Saccharomyces cerevisiae S288C: one gene and its partners. Changing the gene in region 2 together with the main gene of any one other region gives a genetic interaction. Each region holds a gene or a part of one and is shown on either strand. Other genes may lie near its edges. The genes, in order: FRA1, DFG16, HEM13 and PTR2.

Evidence for each region.
Region 1: mutations in DFG16 (region 2) and FRA1 together harm fitness more than expected from each alone (negative genetic interaction), as found in Saccharomyces cerevisiae (2 studies listed by BioGRID).
Region 3: mutations in DFG16 (region 2) and HEM13 together harm fitness more than expected from each alone (negative genetic interaction), as found in Saccharomyces cerevisiae (2 studies listed by BioGRID).
Region 4: mutations in DFG16 (region 2) and PTR2 together harm fitness more than expected from each alone (negative genetic interaction), as found in Saccharomyces cerevisiae (2 studies listed by BioGRID).

What each region holds. Positions count from the first base shown.
Region 1 is NC_001144.5:79,835-84,252, reverse strand, and holds FRA1 (aminopeptidase P), read right to left. Parts: upstream 2,793-4,418; coding exon 543-2,792; downstream 1-542. Other genes in the region: RRT7 (Rrt7p), read left to right, coding at 3,556-3,897; mannose-ethanolamine phosphotransferase GPI13, read left to right, coding at 4,048-4,418. UniProt on the Saccharomyces cerevisiae protein: Involved in the regulation of the iron regulon in responss to decreased mitochondrial iron-sulfur cluster synthesis.
Region 2 is NC_001147.6:385,192-389,189, forward strand, and holds DFG16 (Dfg16p), read left to right. Parts: upstream 1-1,633; coding exon 1,634-3,493; downstream 3,494-3,998. UniProt on the Saccharomyces cerevisiae protein: Involved in invasion during filamentous growth.
Region 3 is NC_001136.10:544,798-548,196, reverse strand, and holds HEM13 (coproporphyrinogen oxidase), read right to left. Parts: upstream 1,556-3,399; coding exon 569-1,555; downstream 1-568. Other genes in the region: DNA-directed RNA polymerase III core subunit RPC11, read left to right, coding at 1-219.
Region 4 is NC_001143.9:613,996-618,103, reverse strand, and holds PTR2 (Ptr2p), read right to left. Parts: upstream 2,375-4,108; coding exon 569-2,374; downstream 1-568. Other genes in the region: ubiquitin-60S ribosomal protein eL40 RPL40B fusion protein, read left to right, coding at 1-108. UniProt on the Saccharomyces cerevisiae protein: Uptake of small peptides.

The DNA of each region.
Region 1 (4,418 bases), on a different chromosome or scaffold from region 2:
CTCCTGCTCCATGGAACCAAAGCAACGGGGTCTGGCGGAACCTATAATCCGTTGTGACCGGGCCCGCATAAGGAATTCTCGGCTCTTAAAATAATCTATCCTGCGCAGAAAATACTGGCTGGCAAAAAAGAAATACTAAATCAGACTCCTTGTCTTTACGTTGGCTATGTAGTCCAAGCTTGGCAGTACTACTGGTGCCTGGTTATAAGATTGATTTTTGTGACTCTTGCGGAAAGGTTCGCCGAGCAGGGACCCTGGATGAAAAAATTTCTTGATGAGGCATCAGTATAAATCACTAGGGGGCTGTACATGCATGGTCGTTTAAAATCCGACTACGCACATTAACTCTTTTTGGCACTAAAAGCGCTCGGGGTTAAGTGTACCTACCCCTCTCCGGCCGTAAAAAAATGAAGGTAATGTTTTCAATTTTCACCTTTTAGTCATTATTGTTGTTATTGTTATCACTCAAATTAAATAAAAAGAAAGAAACTACTTAGAATAAATACTAACATTAATTGTATTGCGCCCCGCTCGCCTCGAAGTCATAGTGGGCTTGTTTCTCTTTTCAGCCACTTGTATGAAATACTCTGAGGCTGCAGAAAATGCACTATTGTCCTCCATACCCTTGCGTGGTACTCGTTAATCTGTGTTTTTTCTTCTTCGTTTAGTAACTTAGTATTGATCAACTTCCTGCAATAGGGAACCACAGTCATGTTTTCGAATTTCAAGAAGTTACCCTTCTCAGTGGCCTTCTTGATTAACATGTCGCTTTCAATCCTGATACCATACTCACCATCCTTATAATAACCTGGTTCGTTACTTATTATGTTACCCGCTCTTAAGGGGAAATTCATCAGATGTGGCCTAAAGCCGACACCCATGGGTCCTTCGTGAACGTTTAAAAATGATCCGATACCATGGCCTGTGCCATGTTTGTAATCTAACCCGCGGGACCATAAAAACTGCCTAGCGATGGCGTCGATATTAAACCCGGGAGTGTTTTCGGGAAAAATCAACCTCTCTAGGGCTAAGCCACCTTTAAGTACCAGTGTGTAATTATCCATTTCTTCTTTGGTTGGCTTTGTTAAGTGAATTGTTCTTGTTATATCAGTTGTACCCTCCAAGAATTGCGAACCGGAGTCGCAAAGATATATCTTGGTAGGATCAATCATCGAAGAGTTCTCTACGGGCGGCGAATAATGTATGATGGCGGCGTTACTACCTGTGGAGGATATTGTTTCGAAGGAATTGCCCATGAAGTTCCTTTGGGTTTTCCTAATCTCGGTCAATTTTTCTGCGGCACGATATTCATCTATCAGTGCCTCGCGCCCCACTAATTGCTGCTCCAGCCATGCAAAATACTGCACTAAACATACTGCGTCTTTGACCTGCGCCTTGTGTGCGTTTTTTATTTCGATGTCATTCTTGATAGATTTCAAAACATCGATGGGTGAGTGAATTATCGCAAAGTTTTGTGCAGTCATTTTTTTAGCTATTGCACCGTTAGCGTTGGTTGAGGTGTTCAAACAACGAACCATCTGCCACGATGCACTATCAGGAATCAAAAATTCATGCTCCGCAGAAGAAGCCTGCGAAGTTATCTTTGTTAAATGTTCCCATATCTGTTCGTAAGGTCTGACTTCAATACCGTTTATCTTAAAATATTCCGATATGTCATCATTGAAGGGGTTATTGGTGAAAAGAATGGTTTCGTCTTCGTTAATAGCCACGTAGGAGAAAAAAACTGGATTATAGTCAATGTCGGATCCACGCAAGTTCAACAACCAACAAATTTCATCCAACGCAACTACTATGAAAGTATTCCTACCGGTCGTCGCAGAGGAAGCCTTATCATTCAGCTTTTTCAGTAACTTTTCCTTCTTGTCTTTGAATTCTTCACCATGAAACTCGTATTTTAACAGTAGTAAATCGTTACAAGGCCTTTCAGGTAGAGTTTCAAAATCAGGCCAAATACTGTCAACTAAGTTTTCCTCCACGGGAACCAGCTCCACTTTACCCTTTGCGTCATATTTAGTGTCAATCATTTTTCTAAAAGAAACATAGTCGTTGAAAGTGATAAGTTTTGGGTCAATACCTATCTTCAACACCATTCCCTCTTTATTGCCAAGTCCCTTGGCCATTTCCAAAGCTTCTCTGACACACCATTCTTGCCAAGTGATTGGGTCTTCGTTTTGCCTCAAAAGTGTCCAATTATAATCTAGTTCTTGTCTAGCTTGATTGAAATATCTTCCATCAGTACTCAAAATGGATTTCCCATCCGGATGGTCATCGTTGAAATTTAACAAGTCTCTGGTGATACAGGCTACACCGGCCGATCCGGAAAACCCTGAAATGAAGGCGCGCCTTTGATCTCGCAATGATACATATTCGGACTGATGTTCGTCACAACTGGGCACAATATAACAACACAAATCGTGTTTCTTCATCTCCTGACGCAACTTCAACAATCTATCAGTAGTGTTAACTTCCCTGTTAACAGCGCATAGAGAGTCACATGAGTAAACAGACCCATTTCCAGCACTGCTACCTCCGCCAGCGCCCTTCAACTCGTTGAGAAGCATGCTGGAGGACCTCCTTGAATTTTCTAACTGTCTTAAAAATAGAGAGGCTCTACGACCTTGCCTAGACAGTAAGCCTGGAGAACACGTACAATCCGCACATGGCCTAAACGGTCTGGGGCTGTGTGATGCCGATGTTCCTCTCATGTGCGTGCCAGGTACATGGGAAATCGAGTGAGCCCTGCCGTCACTGGTGGATGGTTTCGAAGTCATATGAAGATTTTGTTTGTAATTATTGGTTTCGCTCTGTTGAGGTCTCCGTTTTTTTTTTATTCTTTTTTTTTTTAGCTATGCAGTCTTTTTGCCAGTGCTTCCTGCCTTTCCTGTATTTGTAAATATTGCACCTATTAAGACTAAACTGACTCAGTTTTTGTATGTCGCTTCCTTCTTGTTCCATCCCTCATTCGAAGTATTTCTGAAAAAAGAAAACGTAGAAGAAAATTCGGGAAAATGGGGTGCGATTTTTAGGGGTCACCCGGGGATATACCTTCGGGTAACACCAGAAGTCGTCAAAAACAAAACAAAATTAAACTAAACTCTGGCGGCTAAAAGATAATCATAATGCACATAGGGAAAGCTTTCTACCATATTTGAACACTTTAACGGTTAGTTGAAATAATAAGAAATAATTATATGTTTATTTTTACGTGGGTTATAAAGACGGGTAAATTATCTTCGTTATTACTCATGAAAACCTACAAGTAAGCGGCTCAATGGCATTTCGTGGCAGATAATCTTCAGCTATCATTATTATTTTTGAGAGGATGGTTTTTAGGAGCAGTTTGAGGAATAAACAAGAGCTTAATGTACCGTTATACATTTTTAAAAAGCTGTCTTTTTTATTGGGTTCACAGCTCTCATTTTTTTCCATGCAAAATCATTTTTTTAGCCGCCGATGCTTCAAAATGGGTTTAAGATATTTATTGTTTAAATGTTTCTGCATCTGGATTCACTGAAAAAAATTTAGACGCCTAACATGTATTTTGCATTTAAAGGATTATGCGGGAGAAGATTTCTGCCCATTGCCTCTTTTCTTACTATATTGAATAGAATATTATTCCAATACTGGCTTTTTTACAATTCATTAAAAGAGGAAAAGACATTTCAGAAAATTTTCTTCTCTATGAACCTTAAATGTAGGAAAAAAAAGGAACCAAACCACATCATTTACTCTCAACCGCCTTTCTTGTTGGGGTTCATGGTACAATTGCAAAGTTGTGTCAAGTTGTTGCCACTCTATCTTTTGTTTTTGTTACAGGGTAATGGCGCACATTATGCAAGCGCGATGACGAGCAAGGTACTTTCTTTTTTCCTTTAACATTTTGTTGTCCACCGGAAAATAAAAAAAAACAAATAAATGGGTAAGATCAAAAAAGGAATAGAAGCATATGTTTTAAGGGCAACGCCGAATCGTCAAAGAACGGGAGGAAGATCAATACATTAAGTGGAAAAAAAAAGCTCCCGTAATATGGATGAAAAGACAATTAAAAAGTCGATTCTTTCATCTTCCAATGATGAAAAAATAATATACAAATCGCGAATAAAGAAATTTCAAAAGAATCATAAATTTTATATTATTCTATTGGTTTTCATCGCCATTTTACAATTCATATCAATAGCTTTTTTCACTCGGGGATTCTTACTGTCAAGACACGTTCTTGATAATATTTCCTCACAAAACGAAACGAGTAAGTTACCTCCTAGGTTCAACAAGGCGGTGATTTTGGTTATTGACGCTTTGAGATTTGATTTCGCTATTCCTGTAAACGAATCCCACTCTAATTACAACTTGAACTATCATAATAATATATTATCATTGTATGATTCTTTTGCAAGCGA
Region 2 (3,998 bases):
CCATTTCTTAGGAGGTGGGAAGACATGGCAGTGAGTGGGCCCTATGATTGCTGCTGCAGGGGACTTTTCAGGATAATCATGTAAACGATAAAACGGAAAAACAAAACTACGGACGTTGTTACCTTTCCATTTTGAAATGTTTCTCCGAAAAAATACCATTTTGCACAGTTCAACATTCTTGATGGCAAAAGCGAAGCATTGCGTCAACGGGTTAGATAAGTCATTTACTGTCAATTAGTACCAATACCTGTCTTTGCTCACCGAATGGCACTATACAGTGACGTTAAGATCTTGTAGTTGTTTTTCAAGAAGGCACTAAATAAGGTAATATATGGTGCCTTTCGCAATGACTCGTGTATCTGGCAGATCTATAGCTGCACACCTGATTTTTTTGCTATATTTGAATCAGGAGTAAGTTTGAACCATAATCATTCCAATTCAGTTTGATAGTACCTTTTTTTTAAAATTTTTGAAAGAGCTATCGCTTAGCTATCGGCGGGCATATTGAATTGCGCAGTAGATGAACATTTCACTAGTTGTGGCCAAAGAAGTTAGTTAAAAAGTGTAAATATGTCACAGTACTTATCCTTCTCTAAAGAATTAGTTTATTAAAAGCAGCAACAAGAAGAATGACTGTCAACCATTTTTAGGTCATTGCAACAAATCTCAAAATACGCTTTTATAGATAATCTAAGAAGATCGTTATATGGGAATACTAACAGTGAGAAAATGGAAGAAACGGGTTAGCGTAGAAAATTGTAATTAAAAAACAACAGTTTTAAGAAGGTGGTGGGCAATTAATACTTGAGGATTAATACTTAGAGCTTATTCAAAAAGAAAAGATAGAATTTCATGTAATACATGAGAACAATGTAAGGTTTTTAAGGTAACGAGTAACTAAGTTTTGAAATATCTTCACTAGCCTTGCAATCATCTTTTAGCTTTTCTATTTGCCGGATTCTTTACAACATAATCACGCTTTCTTCTAGTTGTAATTTTCCTTCTAGATGTCATTATTTCAACCGATGTCATTAATATCCTTTTATGGTGTTTACAAAAAGAAAGTTTCAAGTACCGCTCACCTACACTACGTTGTAATTCTTAGATACATAACTTTAGTTTTGTCGCCTATGTGCACAGATAAACAAAACAACCTATAAAATTTCCGTTGGGCCCTTTTGTCCCTGATTTCTGGTGTGTAACCCATTTATTTCTGTCCTGTAATAATTCGTCTTCGGTGATTGCCATATATACACAGTTTAGCTTTACTAACTATAAACATCCGAGAAGAAGAAAAAAGAAGGTCTGATTTCTATCAAACAACATGTGAAGATAACACAATCGATGTGATTGATATCAGATTTACTAGCCCCGTTGGATTGAAAAATCTGCAAGGAAGGGCTAAAGAGCAATATACTTTCTTTTGTTGTTTCGGGGTGATGAGAAAATTGTAACTTTTTTTTTTAACTTGGCGAGAAAATTGACTGGAAGAAGTGTCAAAGATAAGGCTTCTATCATATTCAAAACAAGTACCACCAAATGGCAGCTCAACTCCGAAGGCTCAAAAACAATACTTATTGATATTGCACTCACAAGCATTTTTTGTTGCGGAACGTCTTTACGTGCAAGATTAATGATCATAAGATTGCATTTTTACTACCTCCTCACTTTAGTTTACCATTTAGGACTTGTAGGTGCGTATGAAAAAGCAGCAAGAAAGAGAATTCAACCTCCCGATTTGATACCTGGTCCTCCGGGACATAAACTTGGTGATGAAAGACCACCGCATTACGACCACCGGCCACCTTATAAAAAACACATCGACAACATTCCAGCTTACAATCTGACTGATTTGATAGATGATAAACTACTAAATAAATATGAAAACTCATGCACGGTAAATGTATTGACAGGTGGCTTCATCTCTCTAGCAAGTAATTCGTGGCACTTACGTGCTTATAATTACACTTTAAATTACCCATCCTTTTTGATCCGATGCGATAATGGCAGTGCAAATCCTAATTTCTCTCATGTCTTACAAGACTTTGTTTATGACATCAACAACAAATTCAACGTTCAAGATGACAGTAGTAAATACATCGGAAAAGACCCATTTCCCTTAGGAATGATAATGATCACCTTTGCTTCTGGGTGTATCTGTGTGGCAACATGGATGCTATTTTTGGTTGTCTTATTACTGCCATCCGATAATCATAATAGAAGAAATAAAGTTGTACATGTTTACGTCCTTTTCTCTGCGATTATAAGAACTGTATTTCTAAACGAGACTATAGCCGTCATATTTGACAGCCAATATCACGATGACTACCAGGATGCGAGCCAATTTGAATCGTTCATCGTAGAAACTGCACCATATAAAATATGTGAATTAGTTGCAAATATTTTGAGTGATATAAACTGGATTTATATTGTTCACTACTTACAGTCCAATTATGGAAAACCAACTTGGAATTGGATCCCATTTAAAATGAAAAAGGGGACACATATCATAATTACCGTGGGTTGCTTCCTCTCACTAGCCGATAACATTTTATTCGCAAACCTTCTTTGGAGAAAGAACCTTGTAGTTTTGAAGGTATTTTACAAGCTAATCGAATTACTGATTTACACAATTTTCATCTCCATTATTTGTTACTTCACATGGCATAATTTTGCTTACATACTTTTACCGAAAACTGCTGAAATTAATACGGACGGTAAGTGTAAAACGAAATTGAGAATTCTTTGGGAAAATTATCACGAAACTATACCATTATTGGCGTATAATATTCTTATATTTATTTTATTCTATTTCACCACAATTTTTTTCGCTGCTTTCACCAAACATGTTAGAGGTTGGACATTTAACTTTGTTCATCTTTTGAAAGTTTTAATAACAGTGAACGTTTGGGGCTTAATTGGAGTATTGGAAAAGAGGGAGCTGCACATAAGCAAAAAAACAGTCCTTGGACGAAAAATTAACAATAGGGACAAATTTTTCGCCAATCCAACAGTCAATTATTACGGAGAAGATTTAGGCAAGCATTTAAGCGCCATAACGTTAAACAGGGATTTAAACACTACTAAAAGTAACACTACTTCCCACGATTCATCAAGTTTAGTAGGATCCCCTTCACCCACCTGGAAATCTCCAATCGAAAGAATAAGGGACAGAAGAAGAAGACATAAGATAATGAAAAGTGAGAATAAATTTGGGCAAAATCCCAGTTTTGGAAGTAAATCGAATGGCAAACCTAATACTAAAACGACATTATCCAAATATCGACAGCTATTAAGGAAGCCTAGGCGAAAAACCAATTCATATGAACCAAAAAATGGCATTGGACAGAATAAAGAAGGCTCAACTGTTAGACCAGGAGCCGACAAACATATTAGAGATTCCAATTATCTAGCTACAGACATCAGTGACAACGAAAGTATGGAAACCGAACTTCGAACCAACCACATTTATAATTACGAAAATAGTGATTAAGGCAGGCCCAGTGGACGAAAAGACATAACTGCAGAAGTACAGCTGCCTTTATTTCTTGTGGTCATTTATTGCTTTTATTTTCAAGTCAGATATACAAGAAAATCAAATCCCATCGTCAACGTCACGTATAAACGATTAATTTACAGTAATACCATACTCTACCAACATTATTTTAGTCCGACGTTCAGTCCTGTAGGTGTTCCAAATCCTTCTGGCATTGACTTCTGTGCAGAAACCCTTCAAAATGAGTTCCACTTTACGTCAGATCGCATAACAACCGGTCATATATTTTTTTCTTTTGCTAAACCCCCTACTGCAAGCACTTTTAAGAAAAAGAACAATAAATGCGTCTTTATTGCTGTGTGGAAGTGATTTTTGTCTTTCGGACAAAAAAAGGATAGGGATGCGAGAGGGCTGTGAAGTAGTGATCAAGCGGGGCCTATATAAGAAGGGCGCACATCGTCCCCCCTAAGAATAGCGAAGCGATATTACACTGAACACTACA
Region 3 (3,399 bases), on a different chromosome or scaffold from region 2:
GAAATCTATGATAGGAAGAAACTTCCAAGAAAGGAAGTTGATGATGTTCTTGGTGGTGGTTGGGACAATGTGGATCAAACCAAAACCCAATGTCCCAATTATGATACTTGTGGTGGTGAGAGTGCTTACTTTTTCCAACTACAAATTAGGTCAGCTGATGAGCCGATGACTACCTTTTATAAGTGTGTAAACTGTGGTCATAGATGGAAGGAAAATTAAGAAGTCCTTGAATATAAGATGAATTTTCTAAGAATAAAAAGAGTAATAAAAACATCTTAAAATTTGATTAGAAGGCATGATCGCATATTGAGAATGAAGGCTGCTGCCATATTTTTAGAGCAATAGATACTGATATAATTTTTGATCCTGCACGTACTGTGAACTTGCATCATAAATAGGACGCAATAATTAATATTTTTAAGAATAGAGATCCTGTATCAATTGAATTTGAAGAATTATGTAAAGGAGGTATAATAAATAGATAAAAAAATGTATAAATAAGTGGTCGAAATAATTAAATCATCATTGTCATTGAGATCATAAAATCGGTCTGCTAAAGAACCTTGAATTATTTAACCCACTCTCTTGGTTTGGTGGTAACTTCTAGTAATTTAGCTTCTCTGGAACCAGGAGCAGGGTGGTGGTTGTATAACCATGAAGCATGTTCAGGCAAACTCATCAAAATTGACTCAACTCTAGAGCCTGGGGTTCTCAAACCGAATTGGGTACCTCTATCGTAGATTAAGTTGAATTCAACGTATCTACCACGTCTAATGGCCTGCCATTGTTGTTCTTCCTTTGTATATGGCATATCTTTTCTTCTCTTGACGATAGTCAAGTAGGATGGCAAGAAAGCATCGAAACAGTCTTCAACCATCTTCAATATTTCTTGTGGGTCACGTTCATCATAATCGTCAAAGAATATACCACCAATACCACGTGTTTCCTTACGGTGGGTAATGTAGAAGTACTCATCACACCATTTCTTGAAACGTGGGTACAAAGCAGTGTCGTGCTTGTCCAAGGCATCCTTGTGCAGTTGGTGGAATAATTGACCGTCTTCTTCGTATAAGTAAGAAGGTGTCAAATCAGCACCACCACCAAACCACCAAGTTTGTGGGGTCCCATCTTGGTTCCAAGTTTCGAAGTAACGGTAGTTTAAGTGCGTGGTTGGAGCGTGTGGGTTAACGGGATGAATGACCATACTTAAACCACAAGCGAAGAACTTGACACCGTCGGTAACTGGCAAACCAGTCTTTGGATCTTCTGGTAGACGCAGATTCTTATGATCAGCTTTCATGGCTGAAACGGCCGCTGGGCTCAATTGACCATAAACAACGGAGACATTAACACCACCTTTTTCGAAAGTTGTACCGTCTTGGATAACCATAGAGGTACCACCACCACCATCGTTACCACGGGTCCAAGTATCAGCGTGGAACTTAACAGTATCGATGGATTCCAAACCTTGCGTGATTTCAGCTTGTTTGCGACGGATAAGAGCTTCCATTTGTTGTCTAATTGGAAGATTCCTTGGATCTTGAGGGGCAGGCATCTTTATGTGTATTTAATTGTGTTCGAAGAGTTCGGTTTGCTATGTTTGATTTGCGAAAAGAAAGCTTTTGATATGCTCAAAAAAAGAAAACCCGGAGAATAAAAGCTTAACAAAGAAAGACAATAGGTGGAAAAAAAAAGGAAAATCCGTGTCCTTATATAGCCTTTCGAAACGAGAACAATGGGCAAAGCAAGCTTTATCTTCGGATCGTCCGTCAGCGCTTTGGTTGCAGTCTTATGCTTTGTTCAAGCTGGAGCGTTATTGGTGGGAGAACCAGAAAAGGCGAAAGCGTAGCGTTCTTTGAAATTTGGCTTCTGTTCCTGCGACTCGTTTAAAAGTAGAAGGGCCCGCGGAGCCGCTGTGAAAGATTTCTTTTACTCTTTCAGCGCAGAAATCTCGCAGGAGCTCAGCAGAAAGTGCCTATGACGGTAATCCCAGGGGCTAATGGTGTGAAGGCACTTTCTAAACAATTGAAATTAAAATACCGTGCCTATAGTAACTTTTTTTTACGCTGTGAACCGTTCAACACACAGTAAAAACTCCGCAGGAAATGGTTTGAAGAATCTTAATCACGAATTAGGCGTATTGTTTTTCCCAACAGTGAACGAGAGGACAAACTCCAGAGGATTTGCGGGCTTGATGATAAAATGTATTGTTGAAAAGATCGCGAATGCAACAATTACGGTGGGGAGAAATATCAACAAAAGGGCAAGGCTATGCCTTCTGGAAAGTGGCAGACTTGCACTTTCCTCGAAAAGAAAAATGACCGCAAGATCCGGTTGTTCTCAACCTTCTACATTAAGACATACTTCTACGATTTTCGAATGCCGAAGCAACTATCGCTGAAATTTGTCATGTCAAAATTGCTACTGGGGGAGAAGAATATATATGGAAGTAATTATTATTTACGTTGCTGAAATGGCAGGTTAGACGCATGTTTTGCAAAATAAGTGGTTTTGAAAAGAATTGATACTAGGAATCGGTGCAATACCTTCTACCTTTCTTAATAGGTATTCTTGAATAATCTACCTCACTTTCTGTCCCAGATACGAGATGTCGAGCGCCTCGAAAATAGATATCGTTTATTACGTTAGATACGGAAAGGTCTACGTGTCATAATAAATTGCATCTGGATTGCGATTTTGGGTCATGCCTAACTGGGAAAATATTTACATCTCCATGTTCTCATTCTGCCTTTGCTTTCCTTCAAAACATGGTTTTCAATTCAACCTAGGGTCTACCGCGGAACCATATGTACGCCGTAAATGCGAGTGTTCTTGAAAGGTAGTAATGTGTTCCCTCTCAATATGTAAGTCCTTCAAGAGTATGCACTTGCAGTTGCACTGTTTCGGGTAATTATCCGTCATTAAGAAAAAGATGCTTCCACTTTCTCGTGTTTTTACGCACAATCGTGCCATTTAACCGGAAATAGACTCCATTGCATTGATTGCTCTCATAAAAATTATAGCCCGCGTTTGATACTTGTTTAAAATAGGTGTCGACAAAGTTAGTTTCTGTCTTCCATTTAGTTTTTACAATATGACACGTCAAATAAATCTTTTCGATTTAGTTAAAAGAGTTACCTGGCGATAGCCTTCTGGTAAAACACCTATTCATAAAACAATCTTAAAAAACCAAAAAATTACCAAACAACTATGTAGGACATATTTTTACAGTTCATAAAAACGCTTCGAGCTGCCGATATCGGTATCAAACACCAAAATATACATAGTGCTGGTTTAAGCCAGAATATCTTGGTGAAGCTGCGCCTATATGCCTTGTATTTAAAACAAGTCACGAAAAGCTATTGCCAAAGGAACATAAAAACTCGTATCTATGTTATA
Region 4 (4,108 bases), on a different chromosome or scaffold from region 2:
TCTGTTTGTCGTAAATGTTACGCCAGATTACCACCAAGAGCTACCAACTGTAGAAAGAGAAAGTGTGGTCACACCAACCAATTGCGTCCAAAGAAGAAGTTGAAATAATCGATTTATTACGATCTCCACAAATCCAAAGTTTGTATACATCACGATTTTTTTACTACATATATATTTCCTTTTCTATTCTATTTGTAAATGGGAGGAAATCTTAATATGGACCTCTCTTCACAAATTGTTCTATAATACAATATATATCAAGATATAATAACAAGTCATTTGAGATAATGGTATGCAAATACGCGAAATAAGAGTAAACGGATACAGTGAGCCTGAAGAGGACAAGCTGCTTCCATGTTGTAGTGTTTAGATATATGAGCTTAAAATTTAGATTTACTGAATATTATACAATAGTAATTATACATAAAGAAATTCCATTTTATCTGTTCGATAGCAATGGAAGAGGAGAGAGTTCTGTGAAACAAATAACAGCAGCACAGAAAACTCCCGTCAACGTAATATGGTTAAAAAAAAAAAAAAAAAAAAGACAGTAAGTTAATTAAACGCACTAATATTTGGTGGTGGATCTTAGACTTTCCATTGGTTCTAATATTTCAATATCGTTAGCTTTAGGTGCGGAAATTGGATTGAGATCAAATTCGTCTTCTTCTTCGTAGTCCATAGCGTTCATTTCTTCCTCTGTATCATTATACTTCCTGAAGCACAACCAGAACAAACAACCAGAAATAAAGCAGGCAACAGCCAAACCAGTGAATAACCATGTAAATTTAGGATCAACGGTCACTGGGGACAATGCACAACCGATTGCAGAACCAAAGGCGTTAGTCAATAAGAAAATGGACATAATAAACGATTTCATGGAAGCTGGGGCTTTGGAATAAGCGTATTCCAACCCAGTGATAGAGGCAAAGATCTCTGAAAAAGAAATCAAGACATATGCGGGTATTTGCCAGCAAACGTGGACATGATTTGGGGTGTTGTGACCCAGAGGTTCATTATACCATGGACCAGCCTTGTAAACGAAACTTTGTAGAACAGCAGCCCATGTCATGGCAAAAGATCCAAACATGAAACCGAAGAAAATTTTTGTAATTGGTTTTAGTGGAGTGTATCTTCTAATGAAAGGATATACGAATTTTTCAAAAATTGGGATGAAAATGATCAACGCAATGGAATCGAATGCTTGTAAGAAATCGTTGGGAATTCCATGTAATTCCATCATACTGGCCTGAGTGATGAAACTGGAAATCATGGTACCGTATTGGGTCCAATAAATTGGGTAGAATATAAAGACTTTACAAGCCGCCAAAGCTCTCTTAATTTCATCAACAAATTTGTCATTCCATGGATAGTTCTTTTCTGGATGAACAGAAGGTTTAGCAGCGTTGAAGTCGAACTTATTCTTAGTTAAAATCCAACAAACTTTAAAACTTTTAGCGATGACTTTATCTCCGATTGGTCTTTGAATGTATTGCTTTTTACCAAAAATCAAAGTGACAACAGCGATCCAAAAGAAGCAGAAGGGCAATAGATAGGCCGCCCAGAACCCCTTATGATATTCCAATTCAGTAGTGGCCATTAATGATAGAGAACCGACATTGATCATGAAATAGAAGAACATAAAAACGTTTTGTAAAGTAATATTTGAATCGACAATGACTCTTTCGCCCGATTTTAAAACTTTGATGGAGGGTTTCCGCTTAGGAAGCTGGTCGGCAATCAACACGGAAAGGTTAGCTTTAATCATACCAGTGGCAATACCGATCAGAATAATGGCAGCAATGAACCCACCAATAGCACTGTCTCTGTTACCAACGGAGGGAATCGAAGTGATAAATAGAATGAAAATACCGGCAATGTAAATAGCGGTACCGCAACAAATTGTATTATATTTACCCCAGAAGGTGTCCGCAACGTAACCACCGAAAACTGGTGTAACGTAACACCAAAACTGGAAAAAATACGACAACCCAGTGGCACCCTGACTGTTCAAGCTCAGAACACCCTTTGGGGAGTCATTAGGTCCATATTCCATGTAGTTTTGGAATGGTGCGGAAAGCCCGTAGTAGGAGAATCTCTCGGAAAGCTCTACAATAGCAATTAACCAACACCTCATAGGAATTTTACCACCAACGTGCCTTAAAGTCTGCATTTCTTCTTCAGTGGGGCCTTCGAAGTCTTCGTCCTCCGGAGAAGGGGACAAGTTGTAGCGTTCCGTGGAGTTGGCGACGTCGTCGCTAACATACGAATCCTTCAGCGTTACAGCCTGGGTCTTCTCCTCTTCGATGACCGGGAAGTCGCCTTGCTTTTCGTCCTGAGCATCATCTGAGCCTTGGCTGGGATGGTTGAGCATTATAAGAGTTTATTAGTGATCTAATTCAAAAGAAGAAAAAAAAAAATAATTGATAATATTTTATATTGTTTGCAGTGGAGCAGCACTGTGGTATACCTTCTTTTTCAAGTAAGCAAGTAAAAATAAAGTAGGAATAATGCGTAATAAGCCAACCCTAAAATAGACACAAACGGAAAGGATATAGAAGATATGTACATCACTTATATATTTTACAAACCTAAAAATTGTACAGAACAATAAAATGAAATGTAGAATGATATGAGTTGTGGTGATTGGAGAGAGTAAAAGAAAGGATGATAGATGCAAGAAGTAAGGCCAATCAAAGAGCAAGTCACTCTACACAGCTATCATATGAGGGGAGTGATCGCCGTACAGATAAGAAACCCAACTTTTTTCAAGACGCCACCGCTTGTGTAATCGCCATTATATCGAGGAAAGCCCTGCGAACGTGAAGTGAAAAGGACGGTTGTCCTTTTTCCTGTTCTTCGAGGATCCTGAACAGGATGTCAGTAGGGCGGGCCTTTTCTTTTTATTGTGCAGGTACGCATGTTTCTTTGACACAAAATAGTCTGGATTCGCCAGCCAGTGGCACTTTTGATGCCATTTCCACCACAGAAAACGTCTGAGTATTCAGCCATGGGAGGGGAGTGTTGAAAGGGGAGAAGCAGCCCACTTCTCTGTCTTGACACAAACCGCAGATTGCGTCACGGTTCTGCGGACGCCGTTAGCCCATTGGTGTCAAGTTATTGCGGGATTTTTTGGTGCCGTACGCCGGAGCCGACGGAGGTAAGTCAGTTCGCCGCTGCCTTCGGCGCCGTTATCTTATCTCGCCAGAAAACTCTTAGCTTTTCCGGGAAAAAAAATGAACAATACTGATTGCGTTACCCCAAGCTTATCCCACGTAGTTTTGTGTCTCTTTCTTGGGCTCTTGGCGGCCGTACGCATATAGTATACTAATGCGGTAACGGCTACCTCCTACGTCTGTATCAAAAAAGTTCGCTCTGGTCCTATCAATATTTTCTCCCACACGAGGATTCTGTGGTTTTGCAGCCACATCTACAGGATGTTGACTTTTTGTTTGTTTACGTAGTTTGTTTCAACGCTTTCGAAGATGTGGCGCTGGTGCAAGTCATCTAAGTTGGTTACTGATAACAAATTGTGACAAGGATGTAGTGGATGCGTAGGAGACCAAAATGACATCTGACACAAAAAAAAGTAGATAACGAAAACAGGACAAAGGTGTCATTTTGTTTTGCCAAGGAGAATTATAATCTTAGTGTGAAGATACTTTCATTAGACACATAAATTTACGTTCGACACACTTTTTTCTTACTCCTCCCCTTATCAAGGATACCTGGTTGATTCTACGTCGTCCTCTTCACTTTGGTTAATTCACCTTTGCCCTTCACCTTGTGGTGTGCGGGTGTTGCAGTCATTAATGTTCTTTATCGCGAGAGGGGGTCTACATAATCTTGTTTTTTCACTCCAATAAGGCAGTTATAGTGAATTTGTTTTATTACAGAAGGTGTACCCTTCGTTCGAGTTATTTTACTCTTGTTTTGTAGTTTGTACATCTCTTTATGTCTGGATCAAAACGATAATTCGAAGCTTATTGCAATTTAGTTCTCTTACCCATTTCTTTACAACGGGCCGAGAAAAAGTGGAGTTGGTCCGAGGAAGCTTTGAACGGGAAGAGGAAAAAACCTTCCCATCGCTCGAGCATACAATTTTTTT